3 linked regions of the Drosophila melanogaster genome follow. Changing the gene in region 2 together with the main gene of any one other region gives a genetic interaction. Each region holds a gene or a part of one and is shown on either strand. Other genes may lie near its edges.

Region 1 (9,873 bases), on a different chromosome or scaffold from region 2:
GCAATTTCGCCGCACCACAATTCATAGATTCTACACAAAGCACAATATAGATTTAAGTAAATATTTGGTTATAGATTTGTCAGCTTACCCATCCACAACAACGGAACAAGCGGCGTGCAACACAAAACCAGAACAGATCTCTGTAAGCACAAAAGAGCCCTCGGCAAATGCGCAATTGCTGGGCATCTGCGTGGCGTCAACAAGGAACACCCGACCGTTATGCGTTCCGACAGCCACGCGAGCTATTTTCTCCATGTAGACTAGACTGATCACAGCTGACTTAATGTTGGGATCGAGCATGTAGGAAAACAGGTGGGCATAGGTGGATGTGCTATAGGCGTGCAGATTGCCGGAAACGTCGCCCATCCAGATGGCTTCACCCACCAGGCAGCAGCACAACATGTTCATCTTGGGCAAACGTTGGGCAGAGCGGGCACGTGAATTTGCACCGTTTTCGGGTGTCTTGGGCGGAGCAACCTGTGGCTGCGGAGAACAACTGATGCTGTTGCACTGCAGTAGGCTGCCCGAGGGTGAGCAGTCTAGAATGTCAATGCGAGAGCCGAAGGAGGGTAGCCACAGTTCAAGACCACATCGTTCATCATCGCCCATACCAACAAGCGACTGAAAAACCCCACAGACAATCTTCTCGCTATGCGGCATGGCAACGACATCCAGGAGGTGGATGCACTCCGGTGCACTTAGTATGGAAACAATCTGACTTGCCGTCGGTCTGCGACGAGGCTGTTCGTGCCAACACAAGACCATAAGATCCAAACAGCAGGTGGGAAACTGGGTTTCCCTTTGAGTCAAAGCCGGGCGACTACCCTCCAAGATGCACTCTTTAATAGACTCGTGGCCTTCGAAAGGTTGTCGTAAACTGATATTCTCATATATGAACATTCCAAATGAGAAGCAGTCCACCTGACAAGAAGAATCGATAAGCCATATGATTTATGAGAAGTAAATAAATAAACATACCTTTTCAGTATATTCCTCCTCACCATTGTAGCGTATGATCTCCGGAGCCATAAAACCCTCGGTGCCACCAAATCCTTTAGCTCCACTTGGAGCAGTTTGCCGGCTAATTCCGTAGTCGGCAATCTTTATGTGCACAAGGTTGCGGGGACTGTCTTCCGTGTGTGGTTGTGGAAGCTCCCAAACCAAGACATTTTCAGACTTTAGATCGCGGTAGATGATTCTTCTGCGATGCAAATACTCGATTGCTCGAGCCGCCTGCAGGACAAGGGTCTGGAAAGTATGCGGTCCCATGTGGGCTCCGCTGCGTCGGTAATGCCGGAGCAAAGCGTCCAAACCGCCTAGAGGAGCTAGTTCCAGAACCAGAGCTAATGGTTTAATGCAGATCCCGACCAAGGGTACAATGTTTGGATGCTTGAGAGTTAGAAGTACTGCCAATTCCTGACGCGCAGTGCAGTAGGCCTTGCAAGAGTGCTGCAGTGGATCCCGGTCCCATTTGCCTACAGCTACCTTGAAAGCCATCAAAGCGCTCTAAAATAGAATGATTAAAGAACAAATTACTATTCATTTCAGTACATTTGTTAATTTATAGTACTCACCTCTTTTGCACGAGCTCCGGGAGGCACTGGCTGAAGCATTTTCATTGCCACCGGCTTAAAGGATCTGGCGCCCCTTACCTTGCAATTTGCTTTAAAAACGAACCCAAAAGCACCTCGACCAAGCAACGATCCCTTGATGATGCACTCGCTTGGAATAGTGTGCTTATCAGGAATATCGGCAAAGATTACGTCTGGCGCAAGCTGAGCCATAGACTGTTCAAGATGAACAGGGCAACTAATCTTGCTTTGATTATAAACGGACAAAATGCACTCCTCAATCATCCAAGCATAACACACATTTGAGTTATCAGGCAAGTGATATCCGGGATGACCATCAACTGAAGTGTTGCGCGAAGAACCGGCTGAGTCGGGACCCACGCCCGAGTCCGCGTCGGATCCAGCACCCAAAGAATCCTCCGATCGGCGTTCTCTCCTTGCTGTGGCGTTTAAATAGGCCGAGAACACGTTTAAAGCACCATCCTCTCCGGGATCACCTACACCGTGGAGAAAGTATGCTCCCGCTCCACGCCTACTACTTCGACTTGGTCGATTGCAACCCACTGGAGGCACTTCCCGATCAGACGGTTCGTTGTTCTGCTGCAGCTGCAACTTCCAAAGACATCGCGGACACAACACCAATCGAGTGATTAGGAATCGACCCTCGGAAGTGTGCACAAACCGCGTTCCCAATGAAGGATACCAATCCTCCAAAAGCAAGTCAATATGATCCACTGTTAGGGCCAAAAGCTTGGCCACCTGAGACATGTGCGGACGAATCTCGGCCAGCAATTGACGTTCATTGTCATCCACTTCTTGCGATATGTTCACTTCATAGAGTGGAAAGTAAACTTCCAAAATGCTAGAGGAGCTGAGATTTACATCGCTCCAGATACCATCTTGTTTCAGCTTAAATCGGTTGCCATCAGTGCGGAAAGGTTGCGTTCGCTCTGTCTTCTGAAAGGGTACTTCCCAGATCTTGAATATTAAGATAGGTCCATAGTACAGTGCTAAGCCTGTCTGCCAAAGATTCCATTGGGTGTCCTGCTCCAACGATGTGCGTAGATCAAAGTCCGCGTACTAGAAAATAAAGATTGTACCTAGAACTTAGGCTTCGTAAAAGATGTTCCACTTACATCTTGTGAAGCCATATAAACGCCACGAATTGCTTCGATTATTTGTTCATCAGCTAAAATCCGGGTGATTAATCTTGACCAAAACCCGGACGGGAAATAAGTCATCAATAGGATGCGCCGCAAGCCTTGGCTAACCGATGCAGAGGAAGATGATGAAGAAGGAGCTGACCTCTGTTCGTATATCAAATTATTTAGATTTACTTCTTGCGATACAGAGCAACCCAAACTACGGCCGCGAGATCGTTGCGATAGCTTAACCGTGCTTCCTGAATTGGGTGTAGCTGCCTCCTGCGAAGGCAGTAAGGAGGGTATGAGTAGAGTTCTCGAATCCCACGTTAAAGCAACCTCAAACTTGTTAAGTAGACTGACAATGTAGCTTAAAGAAAGAAATTTTAATTAATACAAAAATACTTTACCACATAGTTATGCACACTCATTTAAATACCTTCTGTTTCCATTTCCTTGAACCTGCACACTTCGGAACAACATCTGGAGATCATCCAGCTTCATCACGCCCGTAGGAGCAAAGGGGTTGATCTCCCGCACGGTGACCACATGGGCCAGCATGTCGCAAAGCCACTGTGGATCGAGAAAGTAGTAGTCCCTTAGCGTAGCATCATCATAGTGCAATAAAACTCCATTTTCGTGGCACCATGTAGTGGCCTGCTGCAGCTCAGCGGCATCCCGGAAGCTCTTGTAGTTGTGCAATCTCATCTGTTCGGTGACCAAGCGCTTATATTGTTCACCATCCAGGACGGGATCTCGCCCAGCAGCGCGCAGATTGCATGCAATCACATTCACAATATCCTCCAAGGCAATGTAGCTGGCGGGGATCTTTTGCAGTAGCATGGGCTCCTTGGAACCAGGGGATCGCAGTTGCATGGCGGTGTCGTAAATAATGTTGGCCAATAAGTGGATATTGTGTAGGGTCCTAAAGTTCAAAGCGGTATTTTTTAGACTTTGAAGTCATATTAATAATTCAAAAACTTACCGGCAACTTATTTCGATGGAATCAATCACCCGTGGCAGCCCAATTTTTTCCGCATCGGGAATGGCGATAAACTTCTCCCGAATCAATTGCTGCAGTTGCTCTGCCTTTTGGGGCGAGATGGATTCACCAACGGCATCAAAGTGTGTGCCCACAATGATTACGGGGGAGTTGGGAGCCCTCGCTTGAATGTTGCCAAGCCACTGCAGCAACTCCGCCAGACCCTTGTGACCGTCGCTAATGCGCCAGAGCACCAAATACAGACTCCGTTTGGACAAAAAGTACTGATGTGTGGCGTAGTACTCCTTCTGACCACCAAAATCCCAAGTACGAAACACCACTGGGCCGTGGGAGCCGGGTGCTCGCTTTCGTTTCTCACATATCCATGTTCCAATGTCCACTCCTACTGTAGAAATGTTTGCGCTAGAAGCCGACGAATGGCGATGAGATCGAGATGTGCTGCGTGCGTGTCCCATTCGCTTGGCCCAATGATTTTCGCTGGCGCGCGATCGATGAGAGCTGGAGCTGGACCCTGAGCCCGCCCCCTGGCGCAGTAAGTCCAGCAGAGTGCTCTTGCCAATTCCAGCCACACCAACCACCATCAGTTTCATCCGTGCGTAGGGCTGAGCATCTTCGTAAATAGATTTAAGATATCCAACAATGTCCATCGTCTTGTGCTTCTTGCTCTCGATCATAGAGCGCAGTGGCTCCTGCAGTAGGCAACCGCGCGTATTAAGATTCCAAAGTCTCGACAGCAGTCCCAAGTGCGGCGGCAGTTCCGTGATGTTGACGTTGCCACTAATATTCAGCACTGACAGACTGCTCAGTTCGTGCAACGAGGCGGGAATCTCCTTCAGGCAATTGTTGGTCATATCCAGCATAGACAGGTTGGGAAATATCACCTTAGACCGGTTCACGCCTACCACACTCCAATCGGCGTCCTCACTTTCATTGAAAAGGGTTGTGGCGTCATCAGTTGATAGTTGGATGCGCGTAAGCAGATTGTCAGCCAAGATCAATGTGCGTAGAGCCTCCAGGCGCAGATGACGCCTGTGCCGACAAACACTTTTTAACACCGAAGCGCGAAACGATGTGGCAGACGAGCTACTGCCCTTTGAGGAGGCCGTCTTGTAGTCGTCATCTCGACCCTCTGGTAGCTGGACACAACTGTAGCACAGTAGATGCGGATCCGATTCAGTAATTCGCGGTAAACTTGGCCAGCAGGATATCTCGTTGTGACTTAGATCCAACTGCTTAAGTGTTGCCGGGTAACTGGTTACATGTCCCATAGAACGCAGACTGTTGTATGACATATTCAGCCGTGTTAGGTTTACAGCCAGACAGGGCAAAGCAGCGGGGATACTGGTGAAGAGGTTATTTGCTATATTTAAGCTACTTAGCTGGGAGGAGCCCACACCAGCTGTCTTTCCATCGCCTAAATCTTGTTCATGCTGCCACTTCATGTCATTATCGGTTATGTCCAAAGTAGCCGACCATAGATTGCGATGGGTGAGACGTTGCTGAGTCACATTTCGCGGTTTGTTTGATGGCGGCTCCTCAAAAGATTGCAGATTCAATTTGTCTAGGCTCAGCAGCGAACTGCTAGTTTGCATTGGCGGCACAGGAAGATCCCGCAATAGGTTGAAGGCCACATTAAGTTCGCGCAACTTGGGTGCACGCCACAGGTCGAAGGGAAGCTGTTGCAGTTTGTTATTTGAAACATCCAATATAGATAGGGCGGGCAGGTGAAAGATGGCGGCTGGCAGCGTAGTTAACTGGTTGTCTTGTAGAAAGAGTTCATCCAGTACCGGACACCCATATGTCTGGCCTATTGGTGCAGGTAGATCGGTTATCTTGTTTTGCGCCACATTTAAATACCTTAAATGAAGGACTAATATAATTCTTGAAAAACTTATTACTTTGTCTTTACTAACCTTAGGCTAACCAAATGGAAAAGCTCCTGTGGAATTGACGTGAGAACGTTGTGCGAGAAATCTATTCGCGTGATAGCTGTCAGAGCAACCTCATTAAGTCGCGGATGCGACTGTAGCTTAGGATTCAGCAGCAACACACCGCTGACCATCCAGGGAACCCTTACAACAGACAACTGGACACTGGAGCCCATGCTGTGCCAGTCAATAATGGTTGGATTGTTGGGGAACATAGCACTGTAAGATATGTTGCTGGTGGACGGCAAAAACACGTTCACCTCCACTGGTGTGGGAAGACCCTTCTTGTTGATCTTGTAGTCTGAGTCCGGATGGACTCGTCGGGCCAAAAGACGACTCAGGATGGCCTCGTCGCCGCATGTAATAGCCATTCCAATGGCCGTGCCATTATCGTCGCGGGCTCCATGCTTAAGCAAGAGATCCAACATAGCCAGCGACCTTTGCTTGCAGGCCTCTGCAATGGGGACATTACTGAGCCCATATATTTCCTCGCAACATTTCGGGTCGTTGTGATCCTCAACTGGCTTGGCTACAATATTCGGATTTGCGCCGTGCTGTAGCAGAGACTGCACCACGTCTAGGTGGCCGCCTCGAACGGCCGCAAGCAGAGCTGTTTCTCTCGCCGCTCCACATAGCAGATTCACGTTAATGGGACACCGTTGGCACTCGGTTGACTCTTGTGAAGCTAGGTCGTCGGGTCCTTCTGACTCTCCAGATATGTGCAGTTTGGACATGATAGCCTGAATGCCAAATGAAATACGTTTCCTGGTGGGCGTAATAGGAGTGCTCACCGAGCTGGCGGAATCGCCCAACGTACGCCGGCAATGGAGCTGCCACTTTAGAAGCACACCAACCAGCTGCTTGTTTCCTAGGATGCTGGCAATATACAGACTCGTCTGACCCGTCACATCATGAGCGTTAGCGTCGAAGGGGAGCCGCCATTCCCACTGGCCCTCCTCGTCGCGATATGTCTGGTAGAGGTAGTCGGGATAACTGTAGCTGATAAGGAGTTCCAGCAGCTTGATGTGTCCATTGATGCAGGCGGCGTGCAGCGGCAGCCAGCGCTCTACAGTCGGCTGCTGGATCAGTTCTGGAAAATGGTCTAGCATCAGTCGGGCAATGCCCAAGTGACCGCTATGGACGGCGGCGTACAAGGGTGAGTACTTGGTCACGGCATGGGAGCGACCATCCGCTCCAGCATCCAGCAATCGCTGTGTAATGCTCTCGTAACCAGACTGGCAGGCTCTAAAACGAGACCGATATTAGTTTGGCTCAAAATGGACTAATTCTAAAAGACTTTTTCTCACAGGAATAGAAGGGTGTTTGCTCCTGAAGGAGCCATATTGACTATAATCTGACGCTCAGTTCCAAGAGCTGCCAGCAGCACCCGCACAGTCCGCTCATCGCCAGAGATCACTGCCGTTCGCAGCTCCCCGTGCTTGATCTGACGCACTTCCTCGCGGGCATCTGTGAAAGATAAGTTTTGCTTGGTTAACTAATACACAGCACCTTTGGAATAAACCAATTCCCACCCCGTATTGAGGATGCCTCAATGACCTCATCCACGAAGTAGTCACAGGCTTCCAGAGCTGTTTCAGTTCCAGTTTTGGGATGTTCCATGCTGAATTTCCATGACATTATGTAACCCAAATCGGTGCGAATAAGCCCCAAAAATTAATTGGCATCGGTATGATGACCGAACGCGCCGCTAGCAAAAACTGAACTGCGGAAAATCGATGGCCACGTTTTTGTGGTCATTGATCCAGGCCGTTTTATGTCGCACTGCGCAAGTCGGAGCCCAAGAAGCGCGGCAACTGTTGCACTTGTTCAAGAATGTGGCATTGGGTGAGTGCGTGGCATTTGTTTTGATTTGTCTCTTCGTGGGTGTCGGATGGTCCAGTGGTTGCACCAGTTGCTTCTGTGGGGGGTGGCTGTTTGAAAAAAGTTTTTGCGCGCCCACTTCCATTGCACCAATGTCACCCTGTGCCCTTGCTGGTGTTGTTGAAAAACCAATAACAACTGGTTGAAGTTTTAATTGCACCACTTAGGTAATTTGCATAGTCAAGCGTATAATGCTCATTTGCACTCTGACTAAATTTGCGCAAAACTAGCATATTGTGCATAATTTCACTAAAAGTTGTGTTATCTCACCTTCGTCGGAGTCGCTCATTGTTTTGGTTTGTGTACTTCACGAGATATCCAAGTCATGCATGGTATGTGTTAAATGGGTAGTTGTTATGGTCCGATTAACCAGTAGCACCTTTTACTGACCCTTACTTAATTATTTTGCACATTTTGCGAAATTTTCACTTTGTTTACCTTTTTGTCAACAAACAGTGTAACCTCTTACTGTTTTAGAATATATCTCCTCATTTTGGCACGATATGCTGTTAAGCGCTCTGTGTGACCGAAATATCGCAAGTGAATGCTGTTAATCAGTGTCGCACGCAGGGGGCTTCGTACTTTTCTCCAAAGATTAAAGCCAGCTTAATAACTAAATCATAATCTACCCAAAATCATTGATTTTTATGTCCATTGGCTTAAATTTATAAATTAAAATTAATTTAACAAGGCCGAACAAGTATTTGGAAGACGCATTTATTATTTTTATTCATACACATCTAAAAATTTGTTCCCAAGTGAAATATTTGAAATCCCAACTGATGCTGAAATATCTCATTTCTGATAGCATACATATATAAATACCAAAACGCGATAAGGTGGTCATCGTTTCTGTTACTTTGCACTGCTTGTCAACTCAACAACAGTAATATCGATATTATTTAAATCAGTTAAGCAGTGAATCACTATCGACTGTTACTTTTTGTTGAATTTTATTTTGTATGCTATGATTTTATCTAAAAGAATTTGATTCTTAGGAACTGTTAATTATTTTTATTTATTTTTTTTTTAACATGCAATTTCCTGTTATGACTGTTTACGAACAAGAATTTATTAGCACCGTGTATTTGTGTATATTTTATAAATACTGATGCCAACTGTAACCTATATCGATATAACAATCGAATGAAACACTATCGATATTAACCAGCGCCAGCCTAGAACGCCCTGTGTTCAACAGGAGTCACCCTGTGTTCGTTAACAGACGCTTAACAGCACGATCTCAACAATACAAATAAAAACAATTTAATATTCCTTAATCGAACACAAATTTGAGCCGATTGCACGGTGCGTTTGAAAAATAACAATACCGCGGAATGGCCGACAGAGGCCAACTGAAGGTGCCGGTGCAGAGAATCAAGTAAGGAGCAGCGTAAACTGCGCAGCTCACACCCAAAAAAAAATCGCTATAAAGGCGAGGGCTGGCCAAAATGGAAGCAAAAAACAAAAACAAACGAGCTGCGCCACAATGCAAGTGAAACTTCGATGAAAACTTGCCAATCCGTGTGCTTTTCAAGACTTTTCTGACTGTCTGCAATTTCCATTTTTGTGGCATCGCGACTTAGAGATGAGACATCGGTGCCGCGTAACTTTTTTATACCCTTTCCGCGGTATCAACTCCACCCGTTCGGTCACGGAATTTGAACATTTGGCTCTGAAATATGCCTTAATGGCTTAGATTTTCATTATGGAAACTTTTCTTTCAACGGCCATATCGAATTCGTTATAAATCCTGCTTACTTCAGTCATTCAACTGCCTAAAATTGCAAAAAAAAACACGTAAGGGCATTCATAGGTCGCCTTGGCTGACCCTGAATTCTTGTTTTTGTTTTCAAGTTGACCCCTCCCACCCCCAGCCAACAACTTATGACTGTGTGATTCATACTAAATAAAAGTCAGCGTTTTTGTTTTAATTAACAAGAACCGACGATTTTAGAGGCTGCTTTTCTATTTTATCCCATGTGGTAAAGGGCGGTTAGAACCAACTCAGTTTTACAGTGCATCAATGGATGTTATCCAGATCTCTGATCATCTCGAGGGCAAAGCCAAGGGAAGGGGTCGCCTTCTTATCAACGGGTGGGCGGTTGATTTTTAGTAATTTCCGTAATTCGACACCAAAACAATTATCGGTACATATATCGCCATATGTTTTCTTTCAAGTAACCCGGCGCCACCTTCTTATTTATTCGCAGAGAGATTGGCGTGCTGATTTAAATGGAAAACTTTGAAAACAACAATCTGTTGATAAGGTAACCAGCGAAATGCGGGACAACTAGCCTCCGTAGCCTGAAAGAGGCCATTGAAAAGTCTAATTAGGAGGAGCTGGT
Region 2 (11,126 bases):
AGAAGATTAACCACGATACACTGTGCGAAACGCTCAGAACACGCACTTAATATAAATATATATACATATATAAAGCTGTGCCGCGATTGCGAAAGTGCCCCGATGCTATATAGCTAACTTAAAAATTTCGTATTTTGCGACGAGAAATGAAAATATTCCTTCGTTTACATTCTAGAACAAATATAGGAAGTGGACTTTTCGCAAGTGGCAGATGAGAATTTCTCGAAAGTGCTAAACAGTACAAGTTACAAAGTGTATATAGTTACAAAATATAGCAAAGTGGATTTCCTGATAGAAAGTACGGATTTTTTCAATAATAATAATAATAACTATATTGTTTTAAGTCAAGAACATTTCTAAAAGTGCACACAAAGTGAAGAAAGTTCTTGAATTTTGTAGTACTCACTTACTTTCAGTGTACCTTCTGCAACATTATATTTAATAATGTTAATTGCTGTGGAAAATCGATTGAGTGCGCTGCACCGTGAGAAATACCGCACTTGTCTTGGCACTTTAACGTACTAAAAACAATGGAAATAACATAAAATTAATGCTGAGCTCAGTGAACCATTTTCAGGTGAACTTATGCAAAACAAGCCAAAAAAAAAAAAGAAGATCCCATGCGGCGATTCGCGACGTGATCTTTAGAGCTCTTAACTCGAATCGGTCGCTTATAATGACCTATTAAGTCGCGCTGGCCTTACGAGTGCCCGACTATTCCGACCGACCTATGTATATATCTTGATAACTATAACTTTGTCGTACAATACATATGTGCAATGCACGCAGTGCATAAAAGGGGCGGCTATAAAACGATTTGACAAGCAGCTTTGTATTTTCAGTCTTCAAACGCGACCCAAGCTCACTAGGTACATATATCGGAGTCGAACGGGAGTTCCGAAGGATTTCCACTGTACCAGCCAACTATTTGTGGATTAGCCGATTTTCAATTCAAACAAGGTGAGTAATTGGATCTCATATATACATTTGTATATATATATACATATAGAGTGCTTTTCTTTTTAAGAGTGCATTTCTGAGTGTGTAGCGCTAGGGACCATAAAAATATCTTAGCCAGATCACCATCACTATCACTATGTAGCTACGCTCAGCCCTTATTTACGAGGCATCACTGTCTGTCCGTGTTTTTTGCATTGCCTTTTGCTCATTACTGTTGCATGCATTCCCCCCTTTCGCACTCGTCGCTCGAGAATTTCAGACAAAGTTCAGTAACTCGCCGACGACATTGACCCATTTAGCCACCGCCGATGCTCCCGACTCGATCAGCCTGAATAAAGAAATATTAATTTATTTACATACGCTAGCATTTGCATGTGCATACCGGTTTAGTTAGTTGTAAAGTAACTTGTGTGTGTATTCATTCGATCTGCATCGCCATGACCATGCTGACCACTGCATCTGCGATGAGGTGCCTGCCCTCTGAATTCCCACTTGGTGAGCAATAGCGAAATCTGCCGAACCCCATTTTTTATCGTATATTTATTGCAAGTACTATATGCATTTTCTTAGAATTATCTCCCTCAAATAGAATTATTTTCTATATACGTACGTATGTATTTATATAAGGCGCGTGGCTACAGTTGCTCGAAAAACTATACACCAGTTTGTTAAAAACTTATATACAGTTGTGCTGGTAATTGAAAGTCACGATTAGTTCGAGAAAGAGTATTTAAAAGGTATTCAAAATATAAATAATTTAAAAAAAACAACACTTTTTGCAATGCCTTTTGATATGCCATCTAAATTGTTTGGACATCAAGCGAGTATTCATGTAACAATCCATTTGTTCGATGTCAGTAATATCTACCGACTTGTACTTTTTCCATCTCTTGAGTAAGGTCAAAGCACTTTTGCTTTTGAACCGCCATTGTCACGTTCTTCAAAAGCAGGTTTCTCATGCAGGGTTTTTAACACGCTTTTTGCAAAGAAAAAACCGAAGGGCGAAGGTTGACATTGCAATGGGTCGTAACCCCAGAATTACTCATATTACTCGCTTCAAGTTTTTTCCATATACTCGCAGCTTTGTACCACCCAGTTTTCGTCAGCATCCGCTTCGAGATGGCCAATAAAAATTGACCAAATGACCGAAACTGGCCGTAATGAAATCGAGAGTATCATCGCAACGTAAATCCGTATCCATGAATGGCCGAAGTCTTCGCACGTGCGATCGTGCGATTGAACCGATTTGTCCAAAACCGGGCGGGAACCATTTGCTGTCCACAACGCAGAGGGTGCTCGGCTTTGGGACGTGTTAATTATACCAAATATGCCTGGCTTAACACATGGGGCTGAGAAAATAGGGACATATGATATGACATGGTGATGCGGTGTCATTAGATGCGATCTTATGATCTATAACTATGATCTATAAATAGTTGAAGATGCTTTCAAGTGTCCAATGTTTGTGGTCTCCAACAAATTGCTAGTGGGGTGACCCCAGGTGTAGGTACGCCGAACAGGTGTAAGCACTAATTGGCGTGTAGCTGGGCAGCATTGAAACCGGATGGCTATGCACGGGCACGGGGCTTCAGGGTCGCGATGGGAAATGCCTATGCCAAGGGATTTTCAAGAGCCCAATAGTACTGTGGGCGATTACCCGAAGAAAACCCGAATAAATTAGGCAAGTCCAAGTTGAAAGCGAAACTGAAACCGGCTTGAGGTGGCGGTGGCATCATTTCCCAATGACGATGCACCCCAGACCCAGTAAAGCTTGCTCGCTCTCCCTGGGCAAACTCCATGTGTCTCTCCATCTAGCAACTCCACGCTCTTGCGAGGCACGTGAATGTCATGCTCAAGTTCAGATTCAGCTGGTGATGATCACTTAATGGGTGCACAACTTGTTTCATATAATAGCATTATATAGTTATTCCCCATCACTAGTGCAAGCAAGCAAGAAAATATATGTTTCAGTAGAAGCTTATTATGTTGAAACTACTTCATTTTGGTGCATTAAAGCATTAAACAACTATAGTTAAAAGACCCCCTTATAGCAGAAGTAGTTACTGTCGGGAAACAAACCCACTTGGCAGCACTGGCGTCTCGATCGGCGACACCCACTCTCATGCCGCTCCGCTCACAATTCCAGTTTTAATTCTTGGCCTGGCATAAAATCTCGACTCGCGCTTTTGGCCGCAACAGTTTCATCTGGGCTTTCAGCTCCGTTGCACGCGTCACTCGCAGCTGGTTTTTTGGGCCGTCTTTGCGGAATACTGTTAGCCATTATACCATTATAGCCTTTAAGTTTGGGCCAAACTAGTTTCGGTCGTGTTGTGTTGTCTTGTGTTGTGTTGTGATCCGTGTGTACTATTTAAGATCTCGTATTTTCCCAGACACAACATCAGCGATTCAGTAGACTCTTGTGTATCATTCATGAATGCAAAAACAGACGATACCCTAAGCAAATCACCTGGCCCATCTAGCCGAAATTGGTAGCAATTTTCAATGTCAGCGCTTCGGATGCTAATCTCCTAGTCTTTTGTTTCGAGCCAGCACTAACGCTAATTTTCGATTTGATGGGAAATCTTCAGCGCTAATTTCCGATTTGATGGGAAATCTAGTGTGCTAATTTCTGATATCCAACTGCCCCACTATATAAGCTCACAGACCCTGGCTCCTCATCTCGCAATTCGAAACCTGCCTAACTGGAAATTACGCTCAAGTAGAACGCGTCAAGTGTCTCCAGAATTTAGTTCAAGGCTCCTAACGTTATTTTCTGATCTCTGAAGAATTGCATTATCTTCGCGAATCTCTGGCCTCTTCTTCCGTTTTAAGCAATTTGCGAATGTCAAGGTGAAGGTCGGCCAGGTGATTAATAAATAAATGAATACATATATGGATATGTTTAGACGATCATCGCATTGACTGGCGGGAAAGTCTAGAAACTCGATGCAGTTGAGCCGGTTCCGAGTCACTTGTGTCTCGCTAATAAATTGAAATCTCTACGCTTTTTTCTTCTTATAAATAGAGGGCACAATTTTACATTTGGCAAACTGAAAATATACAGCGGCGAACCGCTTAGAAAAAGCACATAGCTTAATATAATCGCAGAATAATTTCAGTTCAGCCAGAGCAGCAACAATTGCAAAATGAGTAAGTAGTAATTGTGAAGTATGACAACTAATTGGCAATCGATGTCAGTTAGCTCAAGTTATTTAGTTGGCCAAAGTTCCCAGTGCTCTCAGTGTGAAACCCGCAGCCCCAGCTCAAAGTACAGAAGCTGTCGCTAACCGAACCCCAACTGCTTCCCTTCCAGGAGTACCCACCATGCTGTCGGACATCGACCAACTGCCCACGCTCCAGGTGGGCGACTACACGCTCCAGTTCGAGTTGGGCGAGCCGACTGCCCAGGGCAAGGAGGTGGCCATCAAGGAGCTGCGCGAAACACCCGAGCGCCAGAAGGAGGCCTCCAAGGAGCTGGCCCGTCTTCTAGAAGGTGAGTCGTGATCAGAAATGGAGTTTTACTTTGAATCAATATAATTATACATTAACTACATGAGTTAAAACTCACATGATGAAAGTCATTGAAACTGCATTACATCTGTTTAAAGTATATACATATATCTGAACTGAGATCATACAATATGCATTTTGCTAAGCTATTTTCATAATTTATATCCGAGGGATCTCCAAAAGCTGATAAAAACTTGAGTTAATAAAACTTAAGCCATAAACTTCGTACTTAGCCTGCATCTAATAATTTACCCGATTGTTGGGAATTGAAAATCCATTTGTACACCAAGTTCGAACGAATAGTTCTATATCATTAGTTGGCGACTTCGTGTCACTAATAACAAGTTGGGGCTAAAAGCAGCGCGCCCTCGAGAGGATTTCGTTGCATAAGATTCGTAACTATTGTTACAAATTACGATTGCCTTTTAATTGCTGGATAAACTTAATGCCAGTGGTTTAGTGACTTTTTAGAATTAAGACTATTGAAGGTGAGGTCGATTAATATTTGCGATATGCTTCCAGCGGAGACGGACTTGCTGTACCCCAAGGGAAACGAGGAGTGGCTGATCAGATACCTGCGGCCCTGCAAGTATTACCCGGAAAGTGCCCGTGATCTGGTGAGTCTAGTGTGGCAACCCAGTTTCCAGCTGTGTTACTAATTGTATATATTCTGAATATGGAACAGATTAAGCGGTACTACGCCTTCAAGGTGAAGCACGCGGATGTGTACACCGACCTGAAGCCATCGAACGAGGCCAACATCTTCAAGCACAACATCCTTACCGTCTTCCCCAACCGAGATCAACTGGGTCGTCGCATTTTGGTCCTCGAACTGGGCAGTAAGTACACTGAAAGAAGGATACTTCAATATATTAGCTTTTGAGTGCAAAGATCTCGATCTTCAGAGTAAAGTTTATTTTAGTTAAGATGCAGGTTTTCCTATCATTTGAAGTTTCATAGTTGCTCCAAGCATTGAGCAGATCCTGTATTAATCTTTCGTAATCCCCGATTACAGAGCGCTGGAAGCACAAGCAGGTCACCCTCGATGAGGTGTTCAAGGGAGCTGTGCTCTTCCTGGAGGCGGCCATGCTGGAGCCAGAAACACAGATCTGCGGAGCCGTTGTGATCTTCGACATGGATGGCCTCAGTCTCCAGCAAACGTGGCAGTTTACGCCTCCGTTCGCCAAGCGCATTGTGGACTGGCTTCAGGACTCGGTGCCGCTCCGGATCAAGGCCATTCACATCGTGAACCAGCCGAAGATTTTCCAGGTGGTCTTTGCCCTGTTCAAGCCCTTCCTCAAGGAGAAGCTGCGCAGCAGGATCATCTTCCATGGCACCGATCGCGAGTCCCTGCACAAATACATGTCGCCCAAGTGCCTGCCAGCCGCCTACGGAGGATTCCGGGAGGCCAGCCGCATCGACAGCGACCAGTGGTACCAGCTGCTGCTCAAGTGCGACACCGAGTTCGACACCATCAACTCGTACGGCTACAAGAAGAAGTGATCTGTGGCCACCGGCCTGGTGCTGCTCGTGATAATCAACTCCACTCGTTTCCACACGTCTTCACATTAAGCCCACGTGGAGCGTTATAGTTAAGCACTCGATCTACCATACGCTTGTCCTGTTAGTGAGTAGCGCCTAGAGTTTGCCTTAGTCTTAACCAGGATCGGAGTGTCGATCGCAGCCAGAAGAAGTGTTATACCTACATGCATATTATTTTAATCCGGGGTAAGCGTATTTATATCATTTTACTATTGTACATTAAACCAATTGTTAAAATATAAACATACTTTGTAAACAAACACGTGCGGTATTCATATTTATTCGTTTGTTCCCAGCTTTCACATCAGATAAACACACTTAAGGCACTCCGAAATTATGCAATATATAAGGAAAAAATGTAGTGATTACATTCTGATTGCCTTATGCGTAGTACATTAGACACCTAAAGCTTGCTTTCCTCAAGCAAGACACTTGGTTATGGTAAAGCTTATATACGATTGTTATAAGAGTATTTCATACCGCATATATTCGATACGGTAACATAACAAAATAATAACTTAGTAAGATAATATTAAAGCATAGCAAGTAAAAATGGAGATCCTATTCTTGACATAGAAGCTAGCTCATAGTTAGCTCGCTGTGAAGCATAGTTCCCTTAGAATATCAACCACAACGAGGCAATCCACTCTCTACAGCCATCAACATTGGGTGGATGGGTTGCCTTTCGGTCTGAAGCTCCTGCCCCTCCGCGGACTGGAATGCATTGAATCTGAAGGTCAACCCGGCGGGGTGAGTGGTTAAATTAAGCGTAAGTTTCCTGACAGCTCCTGTCTGTCTGCTCATAGCCGATAATTGGTGGCTGGCGCCTTGCTGGCGTTGCGCTTCTGGCCGAACACTTTCTTGCCCGGACTGTGCATGGCGGCATCATCGCCATCCGCGTCCTGCCCTACGCCGCCGCCACCGCCTCCTCCGCCTGTGCAACAGATGCGCCGCTGCACCAGGCGAATGGGGCGGGTGAGGTCAATGGTGTCGCCGTGCTGGCGCAGTTCCGCCTCGGCCACGCACTCCATGTGCCGCCACTGGCGAAGGCCAAGGACGAACGCATCCGTCACATTGGTGGCCGCCTTCGATGACGTCTCGATGTGGCAGGCCACCTTCTGCTCCGCGCACCACTGCTGCACTGCGTCGGAGCTCACCTGTCGCTTCTGCGCCGGAATGTCGTTCTACAATTGGAAGCAATTAACCTTTTAAACTCAAGATGAACGTTCTGCAAGCATGGCTCACCTTATTTCCCACCACGATGAATGGAAACTTGTCCTGGTCCACATCTGCGTAGTTGAGGAACTCATTGCGCCACACACCCAATCCCTTCAAGCTGTCCCGGTCGTCGAGTGCGTAGCAGAGCAGACAGATGTCCGATCCTCTGTAGAACGGGGTGCGTAGAGCCCGGAATCGCTCCTGGCCAGCGGTGTCCCATATCTAGTTTGGGGAAATTCCAATTAAGGCAATGCATCAATTAAGTTTGATTGAATTGGCGATTCAAATGGCGCTCAATTGAAATTTGCATTCGATTAGAAGCAAACTCACTGAGAAACAAACACTTTCGCCGTTTGAAAACCTATGGAGTGTTTGCATGCCTGACTGACTCACTTATATCAACACATTTACTGTCATTTCTTGTGTGTTAATTAAATATTTAGTTTTGAACTGATAACGAGGTGGTGATAAGCAATTAGCTCAGGAAATAGTTCGTTGAATCTGAATTTTCGAGTAGCATACATACTTTAAATATTTATTTTATACTTTTATTTATTTTATACTTTCGAACATGAGGTTATACTTTTAGCTCTAACAATGGATACTTTAAACTTCTTTATCTAATATAAACACCTTTGGCCTCCAAACACATGGGTGGAATAACCCTTTTAGGGTGTGAGTACTGCCCATGGTAACTAAGTGACTCCATACATATGTACATATGTATATAGGTAGTGCAAAAAACACCCCAGTGATTCCACGATTTTTTGCAGCACTGGGAAATCCGCTTTTGGCCAAGTTCTTCCTGTGCCCAGCGAACTGTGAACCAGCAAACTATGCGAGATTCCCGTCGGATTAGTCATATGTATATCAATCAGTCCACATTCGCTACTTCCTACTTTATAATGTATCTGCTGGTCCAATTAGAATTATTATTCCGATTTGCGACACCTTGGCTGCATTTTGCTTACTCACTGAGACGCGCTGCATATTCATGAGTTTTCCGAGCTTGGCGAACTGTGAAAATCATTTAGTTCGATACTTTTGAAGACAACAGTCCGAATGGAAAATGGAAAACAACTGCGATGCGGATGAGATGGAGCGGGGGAAACCGCGTCGGCGGATGAAACAAAGTCTCTCACTTGTTTGCCGAATGGCGAAACTGTCATTATTGTTATTATTTCAGTTTTTTGTTTCTGCAATGCCATTCCGTTCTCAACGCTAATTGAGTAGAAATCTAATGTTCATATATGTGTGTGTGTGAGTGGGGATGGGGCAGATGGAACAGATACCCCCATAATGTAGGTACAGCTACAGTGGAAAAAACTACGTAATTAATTGATTGCACATATTTTTTTCTTAATTTCAAATGCAAGACTCAAAAACGTGTCAGTAAGATAATACTTTTCTCTGGTATACGAGTGTTTCAAATGGTTCAAGGAATGTATAGTCAATGTTTCCTTGTTTAAATGGTTTAATTTGTTAGCACTTCTGTTTTTACCCTGTTTAACTTACTAAAGTTCCACTGTGCCGCGAATGTAAGGGAATGGAAAACAAGGCTTAATCGTTGTGTAGTTTCTAAGTGTTTGCATCAACAAAATGCCGGTGGATCGGGCACAACCATGCGACGGTGGGATAGATCCGTTTGGGGGGGGGGGGAGGGGGTTAGTGTTTAAGTGAAATACACTTGAAGGAAATACGCTTGGCCAACTGTTGCATTCACCATAAGAATTGCAAAAGTTCTACGGCCTTGCCGCAATATCGGTATTACTATTACTCCTAGTCAGTAGTTGGATTGCATAATAGTCATAGTCGTAGTCTTCACCTGCAGAGTGTAGCGCTCCCCGTCGACGACTATGTCCTTGTTCATGAACTCCACGCCGATGGTGTGGAAGTTGTTCTCCTCGTAGCGATTGGCGACGAATCGGGTGAGCAGGGCGGACTTGCCAACGCCTCCGTCGCCCAGTATGACGACCTTCAGCAGCTTGGACTTCTGCGGCGGCCGCATGTTCGTCATAGTGCCTGCGTTTGTTTGTTCTTGCAGTTAAGTCCGGCGGCAACAGCAGTGGCTAGATTTCTTTGGCCTTTTCCTACTGCGCAGCTTGGTTGACTGCCGGCTGCAGTGAGTTTTCGGCTTAATTGCACTCACGATTCCCGAGCGATTAGCAGGCGCACATACAGAATTGCACACGGCGTGTTGTTAACAACGAATATAATTCGTTTTTTTTCGTTTAAATAAATCGAAATGGGCAGCTCAATCAAAATTCGCGCCGTGCAGCAGGTCCAATTGGATTGGCAGTCAGCTGACAACTAACAGACCGGGCCTTTGGCCTAACATAATGCTAAGCTCGCCGTTAACAGAGCGCCAGTGTGGGGTGACCACAGCTCACTTAACAGCTTAACTACATAACTGTTAACTTTGAATAAAAAAACGAAAACCTCTTAACAAATTCTATAAAAATTTTAATTCGTTATTAACTAAATTGACAGCCATCGGACCAAATGTTTATTGACTTAATCACAATAATAAATTAGACTTAGCCCTTGATAACTGCAATTGGGCGCATCTTGATGCACTTTTTGCTGATGCCAGCTGCGTGACAGGTGTCGACCACATCGGTCACGTCCTTGTAAGATTCGGGTGCCTCCTCCATGACCAGTTTGGGCGAGGCCACGCGTATGGCGATGCCCAACTGGTCCAGCTTGTCCAGCACATCCTTGTAGTCCAGATTGCGCCGGGATTTGGCTCGAGATAGTGCACGACCCTAAAGATTCAAGGAGGTTTTAGTCTGGCGAACAGGAAGAAACGGGATTTGGTTACTCACCGCTCCGTGGCAAGTGCTACCGAACGTCTCCTGCATGCCCTGCTCCGTTCCAGTTAGCACGTAACTGCAAGTGCCCATGGTTCCACCGACGAGGACTGGCTGCCCGGTAAGCTGATAGTCCACTGGGATCAGGGGATGGTGTGGCGGGAAGGCGCGCGTGGAGCCCTTCCGGTGAACCAACAGCTTCCGCTCCTTGCCGTCCACCATGTGGTTCTCCACCTTGGCAATATTGTGCGAAACGTCATAGATAACGTGCATGTCGAGATCATCGGGTGTGGTGTTAAACATCTTGGCAAACGCTTGACGGGTGAGGAATGTCATGGAGCTGCGATTCACCCAGGCAAAGTTCGCAGCCGCCGCCATGGCCTTCAAGTAGTCCTGTCCCTCCACCGAATTGATCCTGGCGCAGGCCAGCTGCCGGTCATTGGTCTCGATCTTGTCCCGCTTCATGGCCTTCTCCATCTGGACCAGGGCGTCGGTAGCGACCTGGTGGCCGAAGCCACGACTGCCCGAGTGAATCATCACCACCACCTGGCCCTTCTCCTCGATGCCCATCTTGGAGGCGCTCCACTTGTCGTAGATTTCGTCCACCACCTGGATCTCGGCGTAGTGATTGCCCGCACCCAGAGTGCCCAGCTGGGGCAGCCCTCGCTTCTTGGCCCGCATGCTCACCTTGGCGGGATCGGCGTTCAGCATGCGGCCGTACTCCTCGCAATGCTCCTTGTCCTCCGCCCACACGTATCCCTCGCGCAGCGACCAGTCCATGCCCATTTCGAGGGCCTCCTCCAGATCGCGGGCATTCATGGGTATGATGCCCTTGGAGCCCACACCCACGGGTATGTGATCGAACAGGGACTGCGCCAGTTGCTCCTTCACCGGCTGCACATCCTTCTCGTACAGATTCGTGCGCAGCAGACGCACGCCACAGTTGATGTCGAAACCCACGCCGCCGGGACTTACAACGGACAGCGGATCGTTCATGTCGAAAGCAGCCATGTTCCCGATGGCAAATCCGTAGCCGGAATGAATGTCGGGCAGTCCAATGGACCTGCCCACGATGCCCGGCAACGC
Region 3 (10,582 bases), on a different chromosome or scaffold from region 2:
TATATATATGTATATATATATATATGTATAAATATATAAATGCCTTGAGCTGTGCGCAGGCAGGCGATTCAGCGAGGAGCCAATTCGAAAGAAAGTTTTACATAAGTTCTCCCTCCTCAAATCAGGCACCTTTTTTTTGCATAGTTTTTTTTTCCGTGAGTGTGACCCAAAAAACCAAAATAATCAAAGAGAAGCGAAAGGCAGCAAGAGGAAGAATACGAGAAACCAGCAGCCAGCCAGCAGGAAAACACAAAAGTCCAAAAAAATAAACTACTCATTTGGCTGCATTGGCGAATTAAAAAGAAAAGATACAAAGTGGCATATAGGAAGACGGCGAGTGTGTGTGTTAAGTGTGTGAAAGCAGCGTGATCTCTGGAATTAGCTTGAAAAACCATCTTCTTTTTTTCACTCCTAATATTCGGTTAAGTTTTTTTTTTTTTAATTGTGCAAAAGCGCGTGTTAGCCATGGCGTATACTTGATGTGGCCGCAACCAGCAACGATTGCGTATACGCCTAGTGCGCCTCTCTGTGTCTCGTGCCTGTTCTTTGTGTGTGTGTGTGTTTGCGAGTGTGTGCTTGTGTGCGTCACACACAACGTGTTACGCAGAGTAACCCCCCGAACCGCCGCTCGTACCCATCGCCTTTGCCGTTGAAAACTTTTGGTTTGTTGTTTAGAGTAAAGTGCCCGGAAAAGTAGGCAACGAAAATGGTTACAACAAATTGCAGGGCACACACGCACACACAGACAGGGCCAACCAACTCGCACACACACATTGATTTGGGATAGAAGAAGCAGAAGCAGCTAAAGTCGACTATGTGTGTGCCGCGGACTTTCGATTTTTCGTGACTCGGTCGGTTTTCTTGTATATGTTCTCGAGTGTCCTTTGTTGTTGCTCCTTTGCTTGTTGTTGCTGTTGGCGATGTCGCCCCCTTTACTGTCCCCCCCCACTCCCCGCTACCACGGTTTGAACTCCACTCCGTGTGGATTTCGCCTGCTGTTTAGGTTATGTGTATCTGGCATGTCCTTTTTGCCTGCCTTTTCCTTTTTGGAGCGCGCATATGCGCTAGCACGAAACGAAACGAAACTCAACACAACACAACACAATTCAACTTAACTCGCCCCGAAAATCAACAGAGAGAGAGGATTCGGTGGGGGGGGGAGGCGTTATCGGTGTATGTGTGTGTATGTGTGTGTGAGAGTGTGGGGCAACTCAGTCAGTCAGTCAGTCAGTCAGTTGGGCGCCTTGCTAACTGGGTAGAGCCAAAGGATCCCCTCTTGCTTTTGCTTTTGCTTTGCCTCTGCTTTTGCTTTTCCCTTGCTTTTGCTGTGCTTTTTTGTTCGATTCGATTCGAGTCGCGCGTGTGCCATATCGCGTTTCGTTTTCGTGCTGTGCGCAAAAAGAGCCGAGCTCCAAAAGACTTGGGGTCTGAGGATTGGGGATTGGGTACTGGGTACTGGGGACTGGGTTTTTGGGTACTGCTTACCGGGTTCCGAAGAACTCAGGACGAGGCCACGAGGAGCCCTCCGAAGAGAGCAGGATATGCAAGAGAGCGCAGAAAGCGACGATGTGAGCGAGATTGGCGTAAAAGGGACAAGGGTGTCTCAAATTGCCTTGGCTTAGCTCACAAAAAATTGAACCAAAAAAAAAAAAAAATGCGAACAAAAATACGAAATTGTGCAACGCTATTGAAGTTTGAAGTTGATTTCTAATGAAAAATATAGCCATTCCATACGTGTACATGCATTAAAACAAGCTGTATGCAGGACATGGCGGTTAATTGCCAGAAAAGCGAATAATTGGAATTGTTCATATTTGATTCAACAACAGACATTTATAACAGTTATTGTCACGAAAGCGCTTTCATGATTGTGGAAATCGTGTAGTCGAATTCAAAGCTTATTACTGACAATTGCGTTCAGAGAATATTTCAGTGCCGTGCAAATCCCTAAAGAATTGAGGTTAGATAGCAGATAATAATGGTTTAATTTGCATATTAAGCAATTTTAAGCCAGATTATGTTAGTAACATCATTTATTTTACTTGCTTTCTTAGATCAAGCAACTTAGGTACTGTCAAAATTGTTTAAACATTTATGGGTGCCACATTACAACGAAGGATTCATTTTTTATGTGCCTCTTGCCGAGAACTTGCAAGGACCTCGTCGAAACCGAAAGGACACGCAATTGTGGCCCAGAATCGAAAGCGAAAACTTTCCCTTCCTTGGCCAAAATCTATAAACTTTCGTTTATAAAACGCACTAGCTGTCATTCGTGTGCGATTGTGTGGCTTTCGTGTGGCTATTTGGCTATTTGTGTTGCTTTCGCGACTTCTGGTCGCTATAGAAAACCAAAAAGCTGAAAATATAGTGAAATGGCATGGGGAACACCCGTTAAAGAAAGTACCGATGTGTTAAGACCAGTCCAAATGGGTGTTACAATAACTTTGCGGCTCGTCCAATGCCCAGCGGGTTAGGCCGGTGCCATTCGGCCAACAGCCTGCCACCAGCCTTCCATCGTGCTCACCAGCTTGTCCCGGGGCGAAGGCTCCGCAGGACCCCCATACCATTGCATCCCATGGAGAGGGACGGAAGCCCAGCCGGAGCACCACCAGTCACCAAATGGCAGTCGCAGTTCAATCTGCCCCTGGGTTGTGCGTGTTCAATTGGCTTCCAGCCCCATTGTTGTTCTTTGCTCGCCCTTTGCCTGTTGTTGGCTTTTGGTGTAAAAAATTTACATAACCCAAATTGATGCATAAATAAATTATTAAATACGTGACGTGCAAATGGTCAAAAGACCAAGCTAGCAGCCATCGAGCAGCAAACGCAAGTCGAATAGCATGTGTGCAAGGCTCTGGCCTTTGGCTTCCATTGTGCGAATCCCAAGGGCTTGCAATCAGGACGCAATCCAATAAGGAGATTGTGCTCTCGGTAATATTGCCATCCATATGCGACCTGCGACAAATGTCTTATGTTACGCGAAGATCCTCACTGCGAATTCAATTAGGAGCAAGGCCAAGGTTCATGATCCAAACGAATTCCAAATCATTGGCTCCCATTATGGATGAAACTGTGATAAATAAACATTAGTCCCAAAGAGAAATTGGCAATTTAAAGGTTTCTAAGTACGCTATTGAGTACAACTATTGAGTGCCAGGAAATGATAAGTCCAAACTTATAGTATTACACACTTAAGAATGAAGTCAATTAGGTTAAATTTATAGCAAGCTTAAACGCTTCGAAAACAGTTTCCTGATTTAAAAGCATTATTACTCAAACTCCCACAAAAGCTGCGCGCTTTGGTGACCCCAATCCAGTTAAGACACACACACACACACACACAGTTAAACTCCATTGTTTTCAATTTGTTTATACATATGTATGTACTTGTCCATTTGTAAGGACATTAGGAACGCAGTTCCTTAATGTGTGCAAATGGGTGGGCTGACTGGTGACTTGGTGACTTGGTGACCCCGCCACCGCTGGGTTAGATAAAGTTCGGATAGGATCGATTGGTCGGTGTCCAAGATGGGGGGCCCCGAAAAGCGGGTCAGCATGATTTGCGATTATAGCTGATGCTCCATATTCTCGGGCCACATTAGTTATGAACGCAGTCGGACTTGACTTGACCAGTCCAACTGGTGCCAAACGCCCAAAAATAATGACCCACTGTTGCAATTTTCGGGCAGAGCAGAGCCGTGGAATATCAGCTTGATGACCTAAAAATAGAACAAGTGACCAAAGACAAATAAAAAAATGAGAGTCGGCGATGGCGAATAGTATGTGGCAAATGGCGGAGAATAGCGAAGGGCGAAAGGATAAGCAGCGAAAAACAGGGTGGCAAAGTAGCACAACAAAACCTGTGTTGACAACGACTTGGGTGGTTATATATGGCAAATGCTTTAGGGCGAAAAGGACTTCTCACACACACACAAACACACACACGCGCGAACTGCTTCTGCTCCTTTTCGCGGCAAATTCGGATAAAAGGAAGTCACGGCGAAACGGCGGACAACTGCCTGGTTCGCCCGAAAACGGAGTTACCCAGAGAGGAGGAACTTTTTCAGTGCTCAGTGCTCGACTTTTTTCCGCATCCTTGTGTCCTTTTTCAATACTGCTCTGCGTTTCACGTGCGCGCGAAAATTGCATAAACACAAACAAGCCGCGACTCGCTGCCTCGACATTTTTTTTTACAGTGCATCCAATCCAGTGAGACATTATCCTGCCAATTGAGTGCTCATTTTACGTTTTTTTTTTCGTGTGTCTAAGTGAAAGCCATCAAGTGTGTGAATACAATTTACAAGCCCATTTTAAATATCTATTGAAGAAATATAACAAGTTTAGTAGAAGGAATCAAATAAACTAACGACATAATTCACATAATTGGCACAAGGACAGCAGAAAATCTAACATATAAAAAGAAATAAATATTAAAAAAAATAATTTCAAGCCATTCAAACAATACTAGGGGGTGCTTTTAGTGGGCCATACAAATTATTCGAAATTTTTTCTTCCGATAATATTTTTTTCAATTTTTTTTACATTTCTGTCACCTTTTGTGAATGAGTTTTCCCATCAAATTTTCCAATTTAAGCTGGGTTTCAACAACTTGTTCGCTTTTCCGCAGGCGACGCTGACGAAATTGAAACTAAAACCGAAATAAAATCTGCAAATAATAATAATAATACTATTAGTCATAATACGGAAAACCAATTATAATCATAGCAACAGTTGAGAAACCAAGCCGAGGCAAACTCATTTAAATATCCCAGCCAGGTAGCCAGATACTAGTAGAAATAATACAACAAATAATATTAACATTAACTATAAATAATAAATTGAAACAGCTCTGGGAACAAAACGCAACGTTTGATGAAAATTTCTGGCAACACGTCTTGGTTGTTGTTAAGCACGCAAAAAAATTAAATAAAAAAACCAATTCAAATACCCAATGATAATGCAGATTTAACAAACAAAACCAAAACAAATAAAAGCAAACAAAAATACAAATATAAAAAAAAAACCAAACAAAAAAACCAAAAAACAAAACAAACAACAAATTCATCTTCTACTTGTTCTACCGCTTCAACTTTATTCGTCTTCGTCTCCGTAATATATATATATATATAAAATATACATATATATATATTTATATATATATATATCTATGTATATGTATGCATATGTGTGTGAGTGCGTCGCGTGTGTGTTGGTGCCTGTAAATGTGTGAGCCACAACAACAACAACTACAACAACAGCAGCAGCAGCCAGAGCCACAACCACAACAACAACAACAGTAGTTAACAGCAGCAACAATTCTTAGCAGCAGCAGCAACAACAACAATACAAGCAAGCACGCTCACAACAAAAGCAGCAACAGCAACAACAACCACAATAGCAACTACAGCAACAACAACATCAGCGGATAGAGCGAGCAGCCAGGCACAACATCGATAGACATCGATTAACGGTAGGTAATCGAAGGCAATCGAAAAAATCCATTTAATATGTATTTTATTATCACATTCATTGCACTTTTAATTATGCTAATGATATTTAACCCTAAACAGAGGAAAAAAAATCGTGAAATTTTTTATTTGTTGAGTTTCAACTATTTCCGATACCTTGAATGATTTATTCTTAAGACTAAACGATCTTTCGAGTCTAAAAGAACCACTTTTATGATGAATTCTTACAATTAACACATAGTGGAAATGTATTGAAAATAATTATGTTATCTATGTTAGAGCAAACAGGCTAACAATGTGTTATATTAGAAATTCTCAGCTCTTACTTAACTTACTTCTCAGCTCAAAACAAAGTCATTAATTTACTTTTCATTTTGGTCAAAGAGAACTACATTTTACTGGGTCAATGGTTCAACTTTCATTGAAAGTTTTTAAGAAACCCACATTTGGTATTCCCATCGATTGCAATTTTAATATAGAATACCAAAAAGGGCAATTTACGCTGCACGTCAAATGAGAATTTAGAAAGCAATTGTGTCTTTCGTATGTATTTCAATATTTGAATAGCTAGAAAAGTGTGAACGGAGCAGTGGGCGACTTGATGAACTTGGCTCGATTATGTCATGCCTCCTTGGTGAAAATCCCAGTTAACCAGGCCCGACCTCAAGACCATATCAATGGGGTATCTGCGCCCCTTTTTGTCCCGCCCACTGGCACGCCCCTTTGCTTTTGGGCTACAACCTTTTGCTGGCTTTTGGAGGGCAAACTTTCAGCTGCCACAAAAAAAAAAAAAGAACAGAGCAGAGCAGAGCAGAAAAAAATGAATGATGAAGGTTGAGGGGGGGGGGTGTTTCTAACGGAATTCCTTTGCTCACGCACACATTGAAAGGAGGTTCGTTAAGAGAGAAGGGAACCCAAAAATGTATTGTTGTAGTCCGTGTTTGTTGGCGGCATCACACAGAGAAGTGAGAGCGCAAGAGAGAGGGCACTGGCTCTCTCGGCGCAGGCAGGAGGAGAGTGAGAGTCCTCGCTCTCTCGCCAGCCCATTGCGCTCTCCCATGCAAAATTCATTGACTAACAACATGCTAACTTCGTTCAGTTTTTTGCTGTTTCTGTTTGTTTTTTTTTTTAGTTTTTTAGTCCTTTCCTTGCCATCGAATTTTGTTCAACAATTAATAGGGTAGCAGATATTCTGTGTTATATTGCCAAATCGATACCTTGGGTTGGCTAAGGAAAACGTTTTGCGTTTCGCTCATGTGTTTGTCATGTGTCATTTGCATATTGACACAAATTCCGGCTCGGGTTGTTTTTTATTTCAATTCTTGTTTGCGGTTTTTCGCATGACTCATCGACCCAGCGAATGGCCAAAAATTAATTCGGCAAACAGAATTTTGCGAGTGTCATGAATGGAAACAGACACACATAAATATATGCTCATATTGGCACATCCACTGCCACTCTGTGTGTGTGTGAGAACGCTACCCTATGCTTCATGCCTCCGTGTGTGTGTGAGTGTGGCGAAATATCGAACTGACCTACTTTTATGCTCGATACACACACACACACACACACGCACACACACTGGCGCGCTCACACATACACACACGCAGCCAGATTGGCAAATGGAAAAAGAGTGCTTTGACCTTAGCGGAGGCTGCTTATGTAAGCCCAATATCCGAAGACCGCAGGAACATCCGTAACCGAATCTAGATTCAATTCTCACATTTTCTGTAGTAGCGGTAGAAGGTAGTGTTAGACCGTTTCAAATAAATGAAGTGCTTATAATATTATCTACATTTTAAAAATCATAATCGTATTACCTATTACTAAGCTATCTATGTAAGTCAAATCCAAAATTTATACAAACAAGCAAGCGGCGTCAATAAAGTCATACGCATTAAGGCTCAGTTCAGTCAAGTCAACCACTTTTCACAAAAAATCGTTAAAAATCGTTAATTTCTTCGAACGTCGCTATATTAAAAAAACGCAAGGCTCAATTCAGTCAATCCTTATCTATTCCAACTCTGAGTAAGCGAGCAAGCGAAAAGTGTGTGAAAATGGCTTGGAAAATGCTCTTCGCCATTTTGTTGCTGCTGAGTGCGGCCAAAACCGGCTATTTGGCCCCGGAGTCGGAAAACTCTGTGGAGGATGTGCAGATAGAGCCCGGCGCCATCTATGGCGATGAGAAGTTTGCCTACAAGAGTCCGGTGATCGATGCCGAAAAGTTTTACTTTGCGGATCACTTCGACGACGTGGAGGCATCCCGAAAGAGATGGGTACTGTCGCAGGCCAAGAAGAACGACATCGCCGATGAGATAGCCAAATACGATGGCATCTGGAACTGGGAGTCTCCGCAACGCATCTTTTGGGCAAACGATCTGGGTCTGGTGCTCAAGTCGAAGGCCAAGCATGCGGCCATAGCCGCCCCCTTTCGCCAGCCGTTCGATTTCAAGTCGAACAAGCCGCTGGTGGTGCAGTACGAGCTTACGTTGCAGGAGGGTCAGGACTGTGGCGGCTCGTATCTGAAGCTTTTGTCCGCCGGAAAAGGCACGGAGCAACTAAATCGCTTCAATGACAAGACACCCTATACCATCATGTTTGGTCCGGACAAGTGCGGCAACAATTTGAAAATGCACTTTATATTCCGGCACGTCAATCCATTAAATGGCAACATCACCGAAAAGCACTGCAAAAAGCCAAATGCCCGTTTGGGAGTGCCATTCACGGACAAGCTACCCCATCTCTACCAGCTGGTGGTCCGTCCCGATAACAGCTTTGAGATTCGCTTAGACCACAAGATCATCAAAGAGGGTTCCCTGCTGACCGACTTTGTGCCACCAGTCAACCCACCGGCGGAGATAGATGACCCCAATGACCACAAGCCAGAATCGTGGGATGAGCGGAAGAAGATCCCAGACCCCAATGCCCACAAGCCCGAGGATTGGGACGAGGATGCTCCACCACATCTGCCCGATACCGATGCCGTCATGCCAAATGGCTGGCTAGAGGATGAGCCCGACATGATTTTCGATCCAACTGCCATCGAACCCGAAGATTGGAATTCCGAAATCGATGGCGAGTGGGAGGCTCCTCTGGTGGAGAACCCAGTGTGCAAGAAGGCCCCCGGCTGTGGCAAGTGGAAGGCTCCGCTCATCCCCAATCCCAACTACAAGGGCAAGTGGAGTGCACCAATGATCGAGAACCCCAACAACCAGGGCAAGTGGGCTCCCAGGAAGATAGCCAATCCAGACTTCTTTGAGGATCTGAAGCCCTTCCAAATGACGCCAATCAACGCTGTGGGTCTGGAGCTGTGGTCCATGTCCAGCGATATTCTCTTCGATAACCTGATCATCACGGACGATGTGGAGTTGGCCCGTGACTTTGCTGCCAACAGCTTCGACATCAAGCGTCTCTACATCGATCGTGAATCATTCGGGAATAAGGTAGTCGAGCTAGCTAGGGCCAATCGAGCGATCTGGGGCATTGTCATAGTGGCCATTGCGGTGCCGGTTGCCATTACCATCTTCTGTAAATTTGGTTTAGGCCCGAGTAGGGTTGCGGCTGCCAAAAAAGCTGCTGCTGCCGCGGCCAAGAAGACCGACGATCCTCAGCCCGATGATGACCTGGGGGCCGAGGAGGAGGAAAAGTTGGAGAAGGGGAAGAAGGAGGAGGAAAAGAAGGAGGAGGAGGAGGAGGAGGAGAAGGAGGAGAATAAGGAGGAAAAGAAGGAGGAGGAGAAGGATGACGAGAAGGAGATGAAGGATTGCGAGGAGGAGGAGGATGACGAGGAGAAGGATGACGAGGAGAAGACCGACGAAAGGGCCGCTGGTGATACCAACAAGGAAAGCACACCGCTGTCCGCTAGTCCCAAGAAGAACCAAAAGTCTTATTTAGATAATAACGAAGATGAGGAAGACACATTAAAGAACAAGGAACCTACCCCAAAAAAAAGGAAGCGTAAAGCACTCAAGGAGTAAGCGGGCATCCGTAGTCACTGCAACTCTAAATAAGAAACTAAATCGAATTCCAAGATCCAACTGTTGCAGAGCACCAACAACCAAATGATCAAGCAAACGTAGATTTTAAACATGTTCTAATTTCGCCAAAAGAGCCGACATCTCGATCAAACTACACACACACACACACTATCCCACAAACACACAGACACTATTTCACAAACACACACACACACTCTCCCACACACACACACTCTCCCACACACACACACACACTCTCCCACACATACACACACACACATACACATAACACATCCAAATCCAAATAAAATCGGATTAAAAAAAAAGAATTGGGTGTGAAAGGGAAAATTGTTTGAAGACGGAAAAACAAGCAAATTTCCGCGATCTTTTCGCTGGTGGTAGCATACTTTTCTGGGCTGCTGCTGAGAATCCTTGGCAGCAACTCAAGAAATCGCAGGGATTCCGACTGCAAGAAGCAGTCGCAGTACACTGGAAAACGTGGTTCTGGCGATCCAATGATGTTACTTTACTTTACTTAACACGTGAGCATAGGGTAACGTGCGATATGCCCCAAGGATCAGTATTCGGGCAACTGCTGTGGAACGCCATGTACGATGGTGTGCTGAGGTGGCCACTGCCAGAAAGAACCAAGGTGATTGGTTTCGCGGGCGTTATTGCCTTCGCTGAGTGCCTTGGTAATGCATCTAATTGCACCATATACTTACTTATATTATCAAACATAAAATTTATACGAACAAGTAAGGGTCATAAGTAAATTCATAAGCATGAATTGAGCCTTTAAGTTAATCTTTATTTTTCCCAACTCCCCGTTTAAAAATCGTACGTATTTTAAATTCTTCGTACGTCGCTGTATCCAAAAGAACGCAAGTATGTGTGTGCGTGCTGGCATTTATTGATTGGCCATTGTTTTTGTTTGTTGCATTTTACTTTTTTGATTGCATTTCATTTGACGCGAATCGCCGCCTGCGGTAATCCAATTAGTCAGCTGTTGAGGTTTCGACATCGACTCTCTACCGCGGGATCAATGCACTAGCTTTAAGTCTCCTCATTTACTCCATACCATAACTAACTTTAATAGAGCAACACTAACTAATGCCTGACGTTTTTCCCATTTCATTT

Evidence for each region.
Region 1: of Rab9 (region 2) and Lrrk, changing one suppresses a phenotype caused by changing the other (phenotypic suppression), as found in Drosophila melanogaster (one study listed by BioGRID).
Region 3: of Rab9 (region 2) and para, changing one suppresses a phenotype caused by changing the other (phenotypic suppression), as found in Drosophila melanogaster (one study listed by BioGRID).

Annotation. Positions count from the first base shown.
Region 1 is NT_033777.3:20,633,579-20,643,451, reverse strand, and holds the start of Lrrk (Leucine-rich repeat kinase), read right to left. Parts: upstream 7,973-9,873; 5' UTR 7,815-7,972; coding exon 7,796-7,814; intron 7,637-7,795; coding exon 7,364-7,636; intron 7,354-7,363; exon of another isoform or gene 7,265-7,353; coding exon of another isoform or gene 7,177-7,264; intron 7,112-7,176; coding exon 6,952-7,111; intron 6,890-6,951; coding exon 5,630-6,889; intron 5,574-5,629; coding exon 3,699-5,573; intron 3,639-3,698; coding exon 3,153-3,638; intron 3,084-3,152; coding exon 2,708-3,083; intron 2,652-2,707; coding exon 1,575-2,651; intron 1,507-1,574; coding exon 979-1,506; intron 922-978; coding exon 89-921; intron 31-88; coding exon 1-30.
Region 2 is NT_033779.5:19,430,993-19,442,118, reverse strand, and holds Rab9 (Rab9), read right to left. Parts: upstream 9,546-11,126; 5' UTR 9,248-9,545; coding exon 9,056-9,247; intron 7,453-9,055; coding exon 7,258-7,452; intron 7,197-7,257; coding exon 6,813-7,196; 3' UTR 6,278-6,812; downstream 1-6,277. Other genes in the region: CG10237 (uncharacterized protein), read left to right, coding at 1,398-1,455, 4,274-4,453, 4,993-5,087, 5,156-5,309, 5,486-5,973; RtcB RNA ligase, read right to left, coding at 9,768-9,995, 10,056-11,126.
Region 3 is NC_004354.4:16,522,162-16,532,743, reverse strand, and holds the start of para (paralytic), read left to right. Parts: upstream 1-5,329; 5' UTR 5,330-5,467; intron 5,468-7,328; exon of another isoform or gene 7,329-7,522; coding exon of another isoform or gene 7,523-9,442; exon of another isoform or gene 9,443-9,777; intron 9,778-10,582. Other genes in the region: Cnx14D (calnexin 14D), read left to right, coding at 7,523-9,442. UniProt on the Drosophila melanogaster protein: Mediates the voltage-dependent sodium ion permeability of excitable membranes.